Ovis aries: one gene and its partner. Each later gene encodes a partner of the first gene's protein in a complex. Links are inferred from orthologs where the notes say so. Each region holds a gene or a part of one and is shown on either strand. Other genes may lie near its edges.

The links. Proteins that work in one complex are often made in the same cells at the same time.
Region 2: the proteins of UBL4A (region 1) and BAG6 are in contact, whole or in part, in a crystal structure (PDB 4X86), measured with the Homo sapiens proteins. The link is inferred for Ovis aries from reciprocal best matches to the Homo sapiens genes UBL4A and BAG6. Residues at the interface, in NP_055050.1 of Homo sapiens: Val95, Leu98, Ile99, Val102, Leu103, Arg105, His106, Phe107, Ser108, Asp111, Arg114, Val115, Gln118, Leu119, Asp122, Tyr123, Glu124, Ser126, Leu127, Ser128, Leu130, Ile135, Leu138, Arg141, Phe142; in NP_001092004.1 of Homo sapiens: Gly1052, Pro1053, Leu1055, Leu1057, Ala1060, Val1061, Ala1064, Ala1065, Ala1067, Ala1068, Ala1070, Arg1071, Pro1072, Leu1073, Thr1074, Ser1078, Leu1079, Asp1082, Leu1083, Glu1087, Val1088, Ser1091, Tyr1092, Gln1095, Leu1096, Asp1099, Ile1100, Arg1103, Leu1104.

Annotation. Positions count from the first base shown.
Region 1 is NC_056080.1:79,952,036-79,959,616, forward strand, and holds UBL4A (ubiquitin-like protein 4A), read left to right. Parts: upstream 1-3,065; 5' UTR 3,066-3,108; coding exon 3,109-3,156; intron 3,157-3,309; coding exon 3,310-3,415; intron 3,416-3,716; coding exon 3,717-3,931; intron 3,932-4,039; coding exon 4,040-4,146; coding exon of another isoform or gene 4,147-4,150; exon of another isoform or gene 4,151-4,580; coding exon 4,581-4,704; 3' UTR 4,705-4,707; exon of another isoform or gene 4,708-5,596; coding exon of another isoform or gene 5,597-5,708; 3' UTR 5,709-5,762; downstream 5,763-7,581. Other genes in the region: SLC10A3 (P3 protein), read left to right, coding at 737-2,194. UniProt on the Homo sapiens protein: As part of a cytosolic protein quality control complex, the BAG6/BAT3 complex, maintains misfolded and hydrophobic patches-containing proteins in a soluble state and participates in their proper delivery to the endoplasmic reticulum or alternatively can promote their sorting to the proteasome where they undergo degradation.
Region 2 is NC_056073.1:26,728,955-26,735,930, reverse strand, and holds part of BAG6 (large proline-rich protein BAG6), read right to left. Parts: intron 6,434-6,976; coding exon 6,316-6,433; intron 6,203-6,315; coding exon 6,006-6,202; intron 5,769-6,005; coding exon 5,715-5,768; intron 5,553-5,714; coding exon 5,478-5,552; intron 4,942-5,477; coding exon 4,703-4,941; intron 4,178-4,702; coding exon 4,048-4,177; intron 3,427-4,047; coding exon 3,229-3,426; intron 3,019-3,228; coding exon 2,766-3,018; intron 2,408-2,765; coding exon 2,330-2,407; intron 2,219-2,329; coding exon 2,111-2,218; intron 1,989-2,110; coding exon 1,876-1,988; intron 1,769-1,875; coding exon 1,681-1,768; intron 1,561-1,680; coding exon 1,277-1,560; intron 571-1,276; coding exon 273-570; intron 126-272; coding exon 1-125. UniProt on the Homo sapiens protein: ATP-independent molecular chaperone preventing the aggregation of misfolded and hydrophobic patches-containing proteins.

The sequences.
Region 1 (7,581 bases):
TGGCAACTTCCCTGGGGAGAGAGGGGACCTGCTTCCTCCCAGAACCTCCATCTTGCCCCTGTCAGCAGGTAGGTAGGCCAGATGGCCACACACAGCAGCACCGTTCACATGGCAGTGGTGAACATCAGCACATGGGGCCTTTGGCCCGGGGGTCACCCGCTGCCCACACCACTTTGCCAGCTGCTCTCTGCTGGTCAGATGACACTCAGATGCCGTGAGCTGGCCTGCTCTCATCAGGCCTGCTTCCTGGGCATCCCTGGGCTGTCCTTCAGAGATTTCCTCCTGGTTGTGGTACTGCCGCAACTGTGCCTCAAAGCAAGTGGGGCACAGGCTAGTGGTGACAAGATTGGGGCTGATCCCCTGGTGTCAGGCCATCTCTGAACTGTCAAAATCAGCCTGAATCAGCAGGCCGAAGGCAAAGTTCTACCTGTCCCTTCCCCTTCTGGGGAAGCTTGAGGTAGTTGTGACTGGGGAAGGGACACCCGAATGGCACTCAAGGGCCATCCCCAGGCTTGCAGCAAGGAACCCGGCTGAGTCTCCCAGCAGTGGGCTTCTCGGTCATGCTCCTGGGCTCACAGCTGCTCGCCCTCACCAGCCACCGCCATGTCCCTTCTCTTCTCAGGAAGAGCTCTACCATCAAGAAAGGGAGCCCAGCACCAGACCTCGCCCATGGACCCTTCTGAGGACCACCCAACGGCACCAGCAAGGCTGGTCTCCTAAGCCACAGAGGGCCTGCATGCCCCACCGTTGGGAAGGAGCCATGGTGTTTAGGAGTGGTGAAGGCTGCTCCCTGCAGTGGCCTGGCCCAGAAGGGGGCACTGGTTGCACGGGCCCCCAAAGCATGCTCAGGGCCACCCTGCTGCTTGTCAGCCTGCTGTGGGGGGCCCGGGGAACAGCCAGTGCCAGTCTCAGCCCGGCTCTGGGCCATCCCATGCCCCTGACCAGGGGCCGCTACCTGAGCATTGGAGATGGCTCTGTGATGGAGTTTGAGTTCCCAGAAGAGAGCGAGGGCATCATTGTGATCACAAGCCATTACCCAGGCCAGGGCAACGGGACAGGACCCAGCCCCATGCTGAGGGTCACCTCCCTGGACCCAGAGGTGCTGACCATTAAGAATGTGAGTGCTATAGCCTGGGGCGGCGGTGGCAGCTTCGTGGTAAGCATCCGCTCGGGCCTGCCTGGGATAGCCCCACTCCACATCCAGCTCACGGACCCCCGCGAGGCCCCGCCCAGGCTGATCGAAGAGCGGAGAGATTTCTGCATCAAGGTCTCACCCGCTGAAGACACCCCCATCACCCTCGGCACTAACCTGGTCCACTTCTCAGAGAACCCAATCCTCTACTTGCTCCTGCCTCTTATCTTTGTCAATAAGTGTTCATTTGGGTGCAAAGTGGAGCTCGAGGTACTGAAGGGGCTCTTGCAGAACCCCCAGCCCATGCTGCTGGGCCTTCTGGGCCAGTTCCTAGTCATGCCCTTCTATGCTTTTCTGATGGCTAAGGTCTTCATGCTGCCCAAGGCCCTGGCTCTGGGCCTCATCATCACTTGCTCGTCGCCCGGCGGCGGGGGGAGCTACCTCTTCAGCCTCCTCCTCGGAGGGGACGTCACTCTGGCCATCTCTATGACTTTCATCTCAACGGTGGCTGCCACCGGCTTCCTGCCGCTGTCCTCAGCCATCTACAGTCGCCTGCTCAGCATCCATGAAACACTCCATGTGCCTGTTTCCAAGATCCTGGGGACCCTGCTGTTCATTGCCATCCCCATTGCAGCAGGCGTGGTAATCAAGTCCAAGCTCCCCAAGTTCTCGCAGCTGCTGCTGCATGTCATCAAGCCCTTCAGCTTTGTGCTGCTCCTGGGTGGCCTCTTCCTGGCCTACCGCATGGGGGTCTTCATCCTGGCAGGCGTCAGGCTGCCCATCGTGTTGGTGGGCTTCACAGTGCCCCTGGTCGGCCTCCTGGTGGGCTACGGCCTGGCCACATGCCTGAATCTGCCAGTGGCCCAGCGGCGGACTGTCAGCATCGAGGTTGGGGTGCAGAACAGCCTTCTGGCCTTGGCCATGCTGCAGCTGTCCCTCCGCCGCCTCCAGGCTGACTATGCCTCCCAGGCCCCTTTCCTTGTGGCACTTAGTGGCACCTCGGAGATGCTGGCCTTAGTAATTGGCCACTTTATCTATAGCAGCGTGTGCACCGTTCCCTGAGGCCCCCGGGTCAAGCTTTCACCAGGCACCCCCAGCCCCCAACCTCCATCAACTGTCCCCACCATTCTTGTGTACCAAAGGCCTTTAGTTCTCATGCACTATGCACTCAGAAAAAAAAAAAAATCCAGGCTTATTTTTTTTACTCGTTTTTTATTCTCCAGCTTTCAGTGCCAAAGAGGCCATGCTGAGTTCTGTAAGCGGGCACTGCCCAGAAAATATATTTCAATAAAACAGAAGCAAGCTTGGGTATCATGCTGTCTTTGCCCTCTGAGGCCTGCGGGTCGGGGAAGGAAGGGCGTGGTGTGGCCAGGTAGGTGTGGGCCAGGATGGAGGGCTGGCTTGGCGACACAGTGACCTCTGGCCAGATTTAGCCTTCCTCGCCCCTGCATCACCTCTGAGAGCTGTGTATCTGTTCTAGAAGAAGCAGTGGGAAGGGCAGAGGCCTGACTCCCCCACCAGATCCCAAGCTCAGTTGCTTTTCCACAGGTGAAGTAAAAAAGAGGCCGGCGGGTGGTGAAACGAGCTCGGCGGGGCCGGGTCTTCTGCAGGCTCCTGAGAGGCAGGGGATGGGATGGGCATCAGCGTTGACCTGCTCTGCCCACGGGCGGTGGCGCGCGAACTCCCGGCCCGCCGTCTCCCCGGGCCCAGCTCCCCAACTCCTTCGAGCGAGCCCGACTGGTCCCGCCACCCTTTTCCACTCTCCGCGGGCTTCTGGGCTCCGTCGCCCCGGGCTCCGCGGAGGACAGTCCAGGTTGTGGGGGGAGGGGCCGGCGGGGCGGGGCCGCGATGCCCGGCTCGCCCCTCGCGATGCTTCCGGCGGCGGCGGGCGGTTCCGGCGCGCGCCCGGGGCGGCGGCGCGCGGCGGCGGACCGTTGGGGTGCGCGCCGGCCCGAGTGGACGCCTCGGCGGCCGCCATGCAGCTGACGGTGAAGGCACTCCAGGGCCGCGAGTGCAGCCTTCAGGTAGCATCGCCGGGCTGGGTTGCGCGGTCAGCCCCGCGGGTGCGGGATCGAGCCGCGGGAAGGGACGGACCCGGCGGGCTAGCCGCCTCGGGAGAGCCACCCTCCGCGCGGGCCGCGGCTTCACCCCCCGCCCACCTTTCTCGGCCGGGACAGGTGTCGGAGGACGAGCTGGTGTCCACGCTGAAACATCTGGTCTCCGAAAAGCTGAACATCCCCGTCCGCCAACAGCGGCTGCTGTTCAAGGGCAAGGCCCTGGCAGGTAACCAGGAAGAGGGGACGCTGGGGGAGACCCGCGGGAAGCCAGGGGACGGGGCGTCCAGCCCAGGCCCGGGCAGCAGTGTAGGTGGAGGGGGCTCTGGCTAGGTGACCCCCACCCCCATCCCGGGAGTTCACCGCTGCGCTTCGCCTAGGCTCTCCGAGGGTCAGTGCGACCCTCTCTCCCTCTCTCCCTCTCTCCCTCTCTCCCTCTCTCCCTCTCTCCCTCTCTCCCTCTCTCCCTCTCTCCCTCTCTCCCTCTCTCCCTCTCTCCCTCTCTCCCTCTCCCTCTCTCTTTCGGACAGATGGGAAAAGACTCTCCGATTACAGCATCGGGCCGAATTCCAAGCTCAACCTAGTGGTCAAACCTCTGGAGAAGGTGTTGCTGGAAGAAAGCACTGCGCGGAAAACGGCCGAGGCCCCAGCCCCACCGCCCGCCGCCTGGCCGCTCATTTCCAGAATCCTGGCCCAGCACTTCAGCGCCGCCGATGCCAGCAGAGTCCTGGATCAACTCCAGAGGGTGAGAAGCGTGGCCCAGGACCTCTGCATCCTGCCCACCTGCCTCTGTCCCAGCGGGCCCCCCCGCCCCAAGCCACACCCCTGAATCCTTCTGGCTTTCTCTCTTCAGGATTATGAGCGGTCCCTGAGCCGCCTGACGCTGGATGACATTGAACGTTTGGCTGGCCGCTTCCTGCACCCCGAAGCGACTGAAGCTATGGAGAAGGGGTTCTCCAAGTAGGATTCTCGGAGTGTGGGGAGGAGCCTGGCCAGGCCACAAGCTGCATGTAGCATTAAATGTCTTCTTGTATTGCAACTTGGCTCATAATACTGCCTGGCGGGTACTCGGGTACCTGTATCTGGCTCATGTTAGGTGCCAGGCCCCACTCAAAGCTCTTGACCCAGGTTGGCTCCCACATGTTGCACAAAAGGTGAGACAGCCGAGGCTCCTAGCGGAGAAGGCAAGGAGCCAGATTCTGAGTCCAGCCAGCTTCCAGAAGTACTTCAGGGTGAGAAGGAGAAAAGGGTCGTTCAGACGGGTTCTGAGGGGTGGCCATGGACATTCCAGGTTTAGCCCACTGAGGAGAAACCCTCGAGCAATACCTTTTCCAGGCCTGGAAGGGGAAGCAGCTAGCCCCTGATGCCCAGTTCTGTCACCTCATCCTTGACAGGTCCGGCATTGGCAAGAGGTCAGGTGATGGCCAGCCTTGGGCCCCCTTAGTGACTGCAACCAGTATGCACTCAAACGGAAGGCGGGCTGGGGAGTCTAGGATGTCACCCGACTCTGGGGAGTGACACGTAGGTGCCACGTTGGTCCCCAGCCTTCAACTCTGCTCAGTGAGGGCTGTTCTTGAGACTCTCTTAGTTTTCTTTAGCTCCAAAGCCTGGGGTCAGGAGTCTGTAGGCATCCTACTCCTGTGTCCCAGATACAAACTGAGGCCAAATTCTGAGTGATGGCCAAGCGTGGCCCAGAGACGGAATGTCCTGGCCCTTAGTGTCACAGATTTTCTCTGGGCACCCCCTTCTTTTCTCCTCCCAGACACAAGCGGTCCATGACCTTTAGAGATGACAGGTGATGGTCTCGAGGTGACTCGAGCAGGCCCCTGTACCCTTTGCCCATCCTCTGCCACATGTGGACAGGGCCTCCCACTGTGCACACCACTCACTGTCTGAGAGGGAACCTGGGTGGGGGCAGAAGCTGGGGGGTGGGTCGTAGAGATCGTCTAGGCACCTGCTCCTCAGAGGAGGGCACCTGGGCCACTCTCCGGCCTGAGCCTCATAGGGTAAGTGCTGGGTCCCCAGGTGGGGAGGACAGACAGTGGCTCGAGGGCCAAAGGCTTTGAAGAGCAGGTGGAAGTCCATGGCTCCACCCAGGAGCTGGGCATGCACTGCCACAAGGTTCATGTGATAGACTTCCCTACGCTCTCATTTCTTTGTAGTCAGGAAATTTTATATTGACCTTCTCAGTCACACTAGAGGTGCATGTGAGACTTTGACCTGAAAGGAACTCTATTAGTTGAACTGCTTTTGGTTTCCCCATCGTTGATTTAACCATTACAGGACATAGGTTTAAGCAATAAAGAGAAGGTATTGGTTTGCGAAACTGAGAAGTCCAGGGGTATTGGCAGCAGATAAATGATTTCCCCAAATACCCAGTTTCTTCCTACCTCCCCTCTGCACTCTGCAGTGTCTGCTTCATCCCAGGCCTCTACCTCAGGATCAGAAGATGGCTGCCTGCAGCTTCCACCGAACCCCTCGGTCACAGCCAGCACGGAGCACCTTCCCGTCCTCTAGCGTAGCTTCCTCCTCAGCTGCCCCAACAAATAAACGCTGTCCCTTTTGGATGCTTAGAACCGGGTGCCTCCATCATTTTATCAGGGGCTTGGGTGGGCTGTGGAAGGGAGAGGGCAACTCTCAGGAAGGCCGGGTCCTCGGGGAGAGCTGACGCGTGCAGACGGGTCTTGTTGACAGACACAAGAGACAGCTGGTGAGTCTTGTGTGCCTCCCGACTGGGAGGTGATGACCCTGTGGTAGCTAGGAGCCATCTGCTGGGTGCAGAAAGTCATCGGGGAGCTCAGGCTGCCCATGGAGACAGGAGTGGTGTCTCCCAGGTGTATAGTAGGTGCCTTGCTGACAGGCCCGACAGGCTGATTCCGCGGCCCTGTGCAGTTTTCCACGACATTCCGGAGGGCCTGTGGACACAATGTCCCAGACACTGCGAGGATGCATGAAATTACTTCCCAGAGAGCATGACCGAAGAAAGGGGAGAGCACTGGACCTGGGGGAGACTTCACCAACTGGAGACACTGCAGAGGCCAAGGCACCTCTGCAGACGCAAGGCCACAGGGAGAGCTTGGAGTCAGAGGCCAGGAAGGCCCCTCCAGCCAGGGTACAGAGTGTATAGTGCTGCCAAGAAGCAAAAGAGGGCAGCCTCCTGTCAAGCTAACAAGAAGGTCATTGGTGATATTAGGGCAAGAAGTTGCTGCATGGTGGAGAGGGGGAAAGTCTTGCCAGTGACTGGAGACCCCTGGTTCCAGAAGCTTGTCTGGGCAGGAGTGTGTAGCTATGGGGGGTGGGGGTGGGGAGACAGGGAAGAGGTGCTGGGATGAGAGATGGGAGGCCTAGGTGGGAAGGGGCCACGGAGGCTCTGGTCTAGGCCTTGTGCCATCGCTAGAGGATAGAATGGCCACGGGCTGTGCCCTGCCTTTGTCCTTAGTTTCTGGGTGAGGGGGTGGCCCCATGTACACTGCGGGCTCCAAATGCTGCAGTATCCTTCCATAGGGGCTGGAATGTTTAAGGCCATCACTGTGCCCCTTGAGCCAAGTGTCTGCCCCAGAGGTGGGCACTGACCCCCCCATTACCACTCCCATCCCCTGGCCTGAGACCACTCTCTCCTCGTGGAGGAGCCTTGAAACAGCCCCACTAGGAGATGGCAGGGCGAGTGAAACGCCCAGCTGAAGTGGCCCCAGACAGCAACAGTCCGGCACCTGGAATAAGATGCCTGTGGTGCCACTTGCCATGGGCACACTGGCGGAGGGGTAGGCTCAGAGGAAAGCAGCGTTTCCTTTGGGGTGGGGCTTGCTGAGCTGGAAAACGCCCAGGCAAAGATCAGCTGCATGCACAATTTGCTGGTGCCTTGCTTTCCACGCAAGCCTGGACAAAAGCCAGCCTTACCAGGTCCAATAGATCTGACAAGTGCTGCTGAGGACGGGTCAGGCCCTGCCAGCGGGAGATGCAAGGGCCATGGCGGCCTCTGTGCCCTGGGCCTTGGAAAGCCTGCGGGAGAGATGCTCACCCCTGTCACCCTGTCCCCCTCCAAGGCCCAGCCAGAGCAGCCTCCCGGAGCTACTGGGGACCTGCCCCAGGCCACCTCTTCTGCCTGCCCTCTCCACCTCTTCTGCCTGCCCTCTCCAACTTTTCCTTCCACTTCCCCTAGCTCTGGGCTTCCCTGATAGCTCAATTGGTAAAGGATCCGCCTGCAATGCAGGAGACCCCGGTTCAGTTCTTAGATCAGGAAGATCCCCTGGAGAATGGATGGGCTACACACTCCAGTATTCTTGGGCTTCCCTGGTGGCTCAGCTGGGAAAGAATCAGCCTGCAATGAGGGTGACCTGGGTTTGATCCCTGGGTTTGGAAGATCCCCTGGAGAAGGGACCAGCTACCCACTCCAGT
Region 2 (6,976 bases), on another chromosome or scaffold:
GTGGAAGAAAGATCGCAGCTGGGGCTGGAGCCGCTGCAGGGGCTGGAAATGCCCGTGGAGCAGCATCACCACATCCACCATGGAAAAGTTCTGGCATAGAAGAGAGAGCAGGGCCCCGAAGAAGCCTAGGGACAGGGACTGAGGTCAGCAGTGGCCTTTACCACCTGGCCTGCCCTCTAGCCCATCAGCCTCATCCCACCATCAACAAAGGCTACCCACTCTCCCCTGGCTGCCCGATCCCTAGAGAAGGCAGGGCACCCTTATCTGCTCACCGAGAGCCCCATCGGCCCCAGGCTCAAAGATGTTGCTGGACCCACTGAGGCGCTGTATGAAAGCAGCGATGCTCTCACTGCTGCCAGCCCGGGCCCCCAGGGAGCCCAGCAGCGAGCTCAGCACACCCTGCACCACTGAGGTGAAGAACTCCAATGGCAGGCTCTCAGGACCCACGCTGCCAGGACTCCCACTGCCACCAGAAGGGGACCCCGGTGGGGGTGCTGTCTGCTGCTCTGGGGCTGGAGGGGGCGGTGGGGGTGGGGGCGGCGGAGGAGGGGGAGCAGCTGTCTGTGTTGCCTGCATGAGAGGGACGGAATAAAGAACAGAGAGTGAAATTAGAATAAGGATATAGAACGGCATTATGCTTAGCTGCTCAGTCAGTCGTGTCGGACTCTGCAACCCCATGGACTGTAGCCTGCCAGGCTCCTCTGTCCAAAGGGATTCTCCAGGCAAGAATACTAGAGTGGATTGCCATGCCCTCCTCCAGGGGATCTTCCCAACCCAGGTCTCCCGCACTGCAGGCAGATTCTTTACCAGCTGAGCCACCAGGGAAGCTCATGAATACTAGAGTGGGTAGCCTATCCCTTCTTCAGGGGAGCTTCCTGACCCAGGAATCGAACCGGCGTCTCCTGCATTGCAGGCAGATTCTTTACCAGCTGAGCTACCAGGGAAGCCCCAAAAACGACACTGGGGAAGCACAAATCCACAGGAGTCTGGAAGGTATGGCGCGCTGTTCCAGTCTTTGTGCCTTATAGCAGAATATACATGGCGGCTTTTCATAAGCTGAGTCGGGTTGAGCAGGTACCCTCTGAACGGGTTAGCTCAGGAAAGCAGTGACACAATTATCATGCTTCTCTCTCCCAGCCCGTTTTCCTCATCTACCAAATGAAGGGTGCTAAGACAATCAATTCCCAAGGTTCCTTCCTAGTGGCAACAAGACACCCAGGACCTGGCTGGGCTCAGAAAGAGGCAGACTGAAGCGGAGAGTCAGCCAGCCACTCACCTGCAAGAAGTCCGTCATGCCCTGGAGAAAGGCGGGTACACCAGGCATCGCCACAGTAATGGTGGGAGAAGCCACACCAGGCCCTCCAGTTCCCGGCCCAGCAGGCCCCAGCAGGTTCCCCAGGAGCTGAGAGAACTGAAGATCAGAGGCGGAGGCTTGAGGAGGCTGAGGCTGGGCAGGCCCCCCTGGGGCAGGGCCAGCTGTGGTAGCCGTGTTGGTGGTGCCAGAACTAGCTGACGCAGTCGCAGGGGCTGGAGATGGAGCCATTCCTGGGGTCCCCTGAGCTAGAGAGCAAAAGAAGACAGCGGAAAGCTCAAGGAAAACAAGACCCCACAGCATCTCCATTCTGGTGGAGAGAACTGGGAAACCGCTTCCATCTGAGGTGAGGAAGGACACGGACTCACCCACAAGGACAGGCTGCATAAGAAGCTGCCCCACGAGGCCGCTCACCATCTGGGCTAAAGAGGCGTTGGTACCCAAACCAGCACCCGGCTGAGGGAAGAAGACAACGGCAGGCTTTCAGACTTGGCCTCTCCATGCCCTGCCACAGGAGTCTCTCCACACTCTTCCCTGATGGGACTACCCCACCCCTAACTCACCAGAGCCCCCGAGACCGGGGGCCCCCCAGGATGGGAAGGCCGAGCCTGTGGAGGCGTGGGCCGGGCAATCACCAGCCGGGTGGGAGCTGTCGGGAAGCCTGGCACCTGCTGTCCTGTGGGCGGCAGAGGGGAGAGACCGAAGACGGCTGAGGGCCCAGTCCGAGCAAGCCAGCAGACGACGCCCACCACCGTGGACTGGGCCCCACCTCCCAGGCTTCCCCTTTCAGGTTGTTACCTGTGGCCGCGGAGGCAACAGCTGCCACCATGGCCTCATGAGTGATCTGGTGGGCGACGGCGTGCATGAACTCAGGGGGCAGGGAGGGCAGCTGGATGAGGGTGGAGCCTGGGGGGTGGGTCTGATGTAACCTTGACCCTGGACCCCCTTCAACCCACCCACTCAGCCCTACCCCTTCTCTACCCAGAGCTCAACCTGCTCTGATGCCCTCACTCTTACCCAGGGTCTGGCCATGACCAGGGGGTCCTAGGGGGCCAGTGGGAGCACTCGGAACTCCACCAGGCTGTGTGCCAGAATCTGGGCAAGGAGACAGAGAAAGTGGCCTGAGACAGGCGGGGCCAAGGTCTAACTGGATCCTCCCAAGATCAGCGTGCTTCAGGCCTCCACTCCCCCGACCAGAAAAATGGCCTTTCACTCCATCTAGATGGGGAGGAGATGCTCCCTTCACCACGCACACAACTCTGTGAGGACAAGCCGTTCTTCCTGCCCCTCCCGACACACACCAACTTAAAGAGCCTGTGCTCTGCTCTGCGCCATCAGCCACCGCCACCAGCCCTGGCCTCTCCTTTCCCACCCTGGCACCCCCACATCTCAGCACCAACCCAAAACCCCTCCTTGCACCGCTCTGCTCTGCCAGCAGCTATTCCCAGCTCACCTTGGATGTTCATGTGCATCATGACCACGGGTTCCACACTCTGGTGGGAAATCCGGATGACCCTCGGGTGGCTGGTGGTCGGTGGGGGAGCTGGTCCTGGCGGGGAAGCCCCCTCATTCGAAGACTCCACGGCGGTAGAAGAAGGGGCCAGGGACGAGGCCTGCCCAGCACCAGCGGGAGGTGCCTCCGCACTTGGAGTCGGGGGGGGCCGTGTCCCGTTCCCCGTCATGGTCACAGTGGTCCCCACGTTGATCTGGACGACAGAGACAACGGGGCAGACGTGAGTGAAACACAAGCGCCTAACCCAGAGCACCCCATGACACGCTTCTAAAGTCTCCTCCATCCTGGGTCACCATGTTTGCCGAGTCTGCTCCCCTCCCAACCTCCTTGGAGCCCAACAGCTACGATGGATCACTTCATCAACAGCCCCCCATCTGTCCGCATCCAGGCTCTCCTGATCCACCTGGATGGGGATGGCCGCCTGCTGGAGCACCATGGGGGTGGTGTAGTGAGACATGGGCCGGACCACGTGCAGATGACGAGGGGGCGCACAGGCCAGATTGCAACGCAGGTCAGACAGTGCCACGAAGGTGTTGCCCAGCAGCCGCAGGCTCTCCCCCACCAAGTTGATCAAGCGCTGATCCTCCTCACGGCCCTCTTGCTGTACTCCCCGGGGCCAAACACAGAAAAGCAGAAAGCATTAGGCTAGGATCCACCTTGTTAAAAAAGTAATGCCTTTTTGAGATTGATTATCACATCCTCTCTGTCTTTTGAAGAAGGAAATGGAAACCCATTTCAGTATTCTTGCCTGGAAGACCCTATGGACAGAGGAGCCTGGCGAGCTACAGGCCACAGGGTCACAAAGAGTTAGATACAACTGAGCAAGTGAGCACTATGTCTTTAGGTACATCCTCTGAAGCTTCTGTATACACCAAATCTTTGCAAGTAAGCTCCAGTTTATACACACAAATAGCTTCCTTTGATAATAAATCCTACAGTGAATCAGTAAGCGATCACCTGCTAATCTCCCTTACATTATAAACTTGCTAAGTAACTAATTTAGGGGATCATGAAAGTGAGAAGACAGTGAACACCATAAAGATGTCAATGAGGAAAAGATCCTGTGTTCCTGTCAAGGAGGAAACAATCACTTCCTTCCTAATCTAAAGAGAAGCTGCTCTGCAGAAGATGACATCTTTTGGGGCACGGGGCAGGGGAAGTGATCTACGCTTCGCCCTGCTCCATCTGGGGGTGCTGGAGGTGAGGGGGTGGGTGGGCTCACATTGTTGTTGTAGTCTGTGGTGGCAGCAGCACCCAAAACCTCATAGTAGCGCTGCAGGAAGGGCTGGAGGCGGCTCTCAAGCCGCTGCAGCTCCTGAAGCACCTCGACATACTCCGCAGGCGAAGGGTGGCTGTGGGCAAAACCCAAAGCGGCCGTGAGCCGAGGCTTCCCTCAGACTCCTGCCCTTACCACCCGTGCCCCACTTCTCCCTGGCCTCCCAGAGCCCCAGCCTAACCCCCCACCCCACCCCCTGGAACTAGCAGAGCTTCTGTTCTTTAACCTCACCCAGGGGGGAAGGACAGGAAAAGACAAACTGCTTTCACCCTTCCCACAACACAATCCTGTACCTATAATGGCAAAACACCAACTCTTAAAAACCAGATAGGGCCTCTGGGTACTCAGGGGAGAGATGCTTGCCACCTCCGGGAGCACCATGTGGATTTCCTAAGCCAAAGAAGGGCAGCGCCTCTAGCTCAGTGGCCAGTCTCAATCTCATTTACCTACTCCAGAGCCCCCCGCACCGCCCCTCAACACTAACTCTACAAGCACCACCTCTGAACAATGTTTTCTCTCTCGTCAACCTTCTCCTGGTCCTTACACTTCACTTAGAATCCCCAACCCACTCCCACCCCAAAAGGTGCTCTCCCTCTCTCACTTGGGTGCATTTGTCTCTGGGGCAGAGGCTGGGCCCGCTGGGGCTGGGCCAGAAGGGGTGAGCTCCGGGCTCTGGGCAGGGGCACGCTCCTCCACTTCTTCCGCCTCCATGGGCTCCCGAGGAGGCACTTCACTTTCAACCGGTTCTGACGTTTGGGAGGTCAAGGCCACCGGCTCTGGTGCCACCGTTGGTGTCTGGGGTGGCGGCTGACTGTGCTGGGCTTGGGCACCCCCTCGGCACTGAAGCGGGAGAAGAGTCAGGACAACAAAGGCAACGTGAAACTGCAGCAGATTACTCAAGTCAGAGCAGCCTGAGTGGAGAAGGGGCACTAACTAGCCGCCCCGAAGGCAGGGCTCTGCATCTGAATCTGACTCCCTAAAACGTACACAAATTAGACGTGTGACAAACACCTATGATACTTACAAATAAACTATTAACAAAAACTAGGGGTTGTGGTTTCCTAGCCTCCAAGAGGAAAGAAGGACAGGACACTGGCTGCAAATACAAACTAATGAAGCTAAGCCATCCCAGCATCAAATATGACAATCAAGGAACAGGAAGGCAAGGAATCCTTCTTTAATTGCAAAGAGAATCAGCAGGGACAGGACAGCCTCAAAAGAAAGATACTTTTTCTGCCCAAAAGAGCACACACTGCAGAAAAGAGATTAGATTAAGAGGGGAGAACCCAGTGGATGTGACCAGTCATCCCTAGGCTGAGACAAAAGGGGTAGGGAGGATAGAGTGAGACAGGCAGTGGCCAGCCTTGCCCACTCACCTCCATCCGGGAGAGTAAGGTCTGTATATCCCTGATCATATGCTGAGCCATCACCAGCCGTACTCGGGGCTCACTCTACAATGAGAGAGAAAATCAGGTCAGGCTGGAGACAAAGCCACAAGCTCCATTACCTACTAAACCAGGACCCAGCCCCATCTCTTCAGCCAGACCCATCCCCCACTTTGTGGCCTCCTTCTCCCAGATCCCCTTCCTTGACCCTCCCAGGCCCTGTGATACCTGAATTGGGGCCTGTTCCATGTTGATGTGAACATCCACAGCAGAGCCGTCACTCTGAGGAAAGGGTAAGGGAAGTTGCTCTGGGAGAAGCCAAATACTAAGGCCCCCACGCTTCCAACTGATTCTCTGGTGCCCGACCCCTCTAGATTATCAAAGACAGAGGCTGTTACCAGACCAGAGAGCCCACCAAAGCCCTTCTAAAGACTGACACACCTCTCTTATGAACTCTTGGCTGCTACCACAACCAAAACTGACCCCACAAAAACCCTCCCGTGAGGAACACAAGCTTACGGGAAGATTGAAGGTTCCAACCATGACATAGCTGTTGGCATTCCGGTCATGAACAGAGGCCCCAGGCCCCCGAGTACCAGGCGTGGGTCCCCCACCATGGGTGGCTGAGGTGGACCCTGTTCCAGAAGATGCTCCAGAAGGGAGCTGAGTCTGAGGAGGAGCCCGTTCCACAAGGTGAATAACCTTTCCCCCAACATCTGCAGAAAAAAGATACACACCAAAACATTACATGATCAGGGAAACCCTTGGCCTCAGCTCACTGCTCTGGACAGCAGCCTCAAGCTCTGCTCTGCCTCCCCCACCCCCTTACTGTATTCTTGGAGCTTCTTATCATCCTGCAGAACTCGTCCCTGGTAGATAAGCCGTTGTTTCTCAGATGGGATGCTAACAGAAGCAGCAATATGTTCCTTAAACTCCTTTACGTTCATCTGTAGGGAAGAAGAAACATGACGAGGAATCGGGGGTGGAAGAAAAAGGACAGAAGGGGGACAGCTGACTTGTAAGGGGTAAAAACCATCCCATCCTAAAATTACTACCCACCTGTCTTAATTGTGAGGTAATTATTGAGCAAAGCCCTGAACTAGGGCAACACTTGTCAAAATACATACAATAAACGTAACGAACTTCAGGTACAGGCCCAGGAGAAAACTACAGGGCTGAAGACCAGAAACACCAACTGACATTCTCTTCTCTCCCTCTCTGCCTGGCTCCAAAAGGAATGTGTGTGCCTAGAGATACCGGTGACCCCTCCACAAACACAAAATGATACAACACTGTAACCTTAAAGATAAAAGCAATGACAAAGAAGATGCGGTAGAGAATCAGGTTAAGGAAGGCAGACTCAAGCAAGAAGAAAAAGGGGCAAAGTCAGAAAAATATTTTTCCTAACTAGACAACTGACTTGTGAGAAGTATCCAGCTGTTTACAAACACCTAATCACAAAAGCCTACACAGTCTCATTAAATACACGA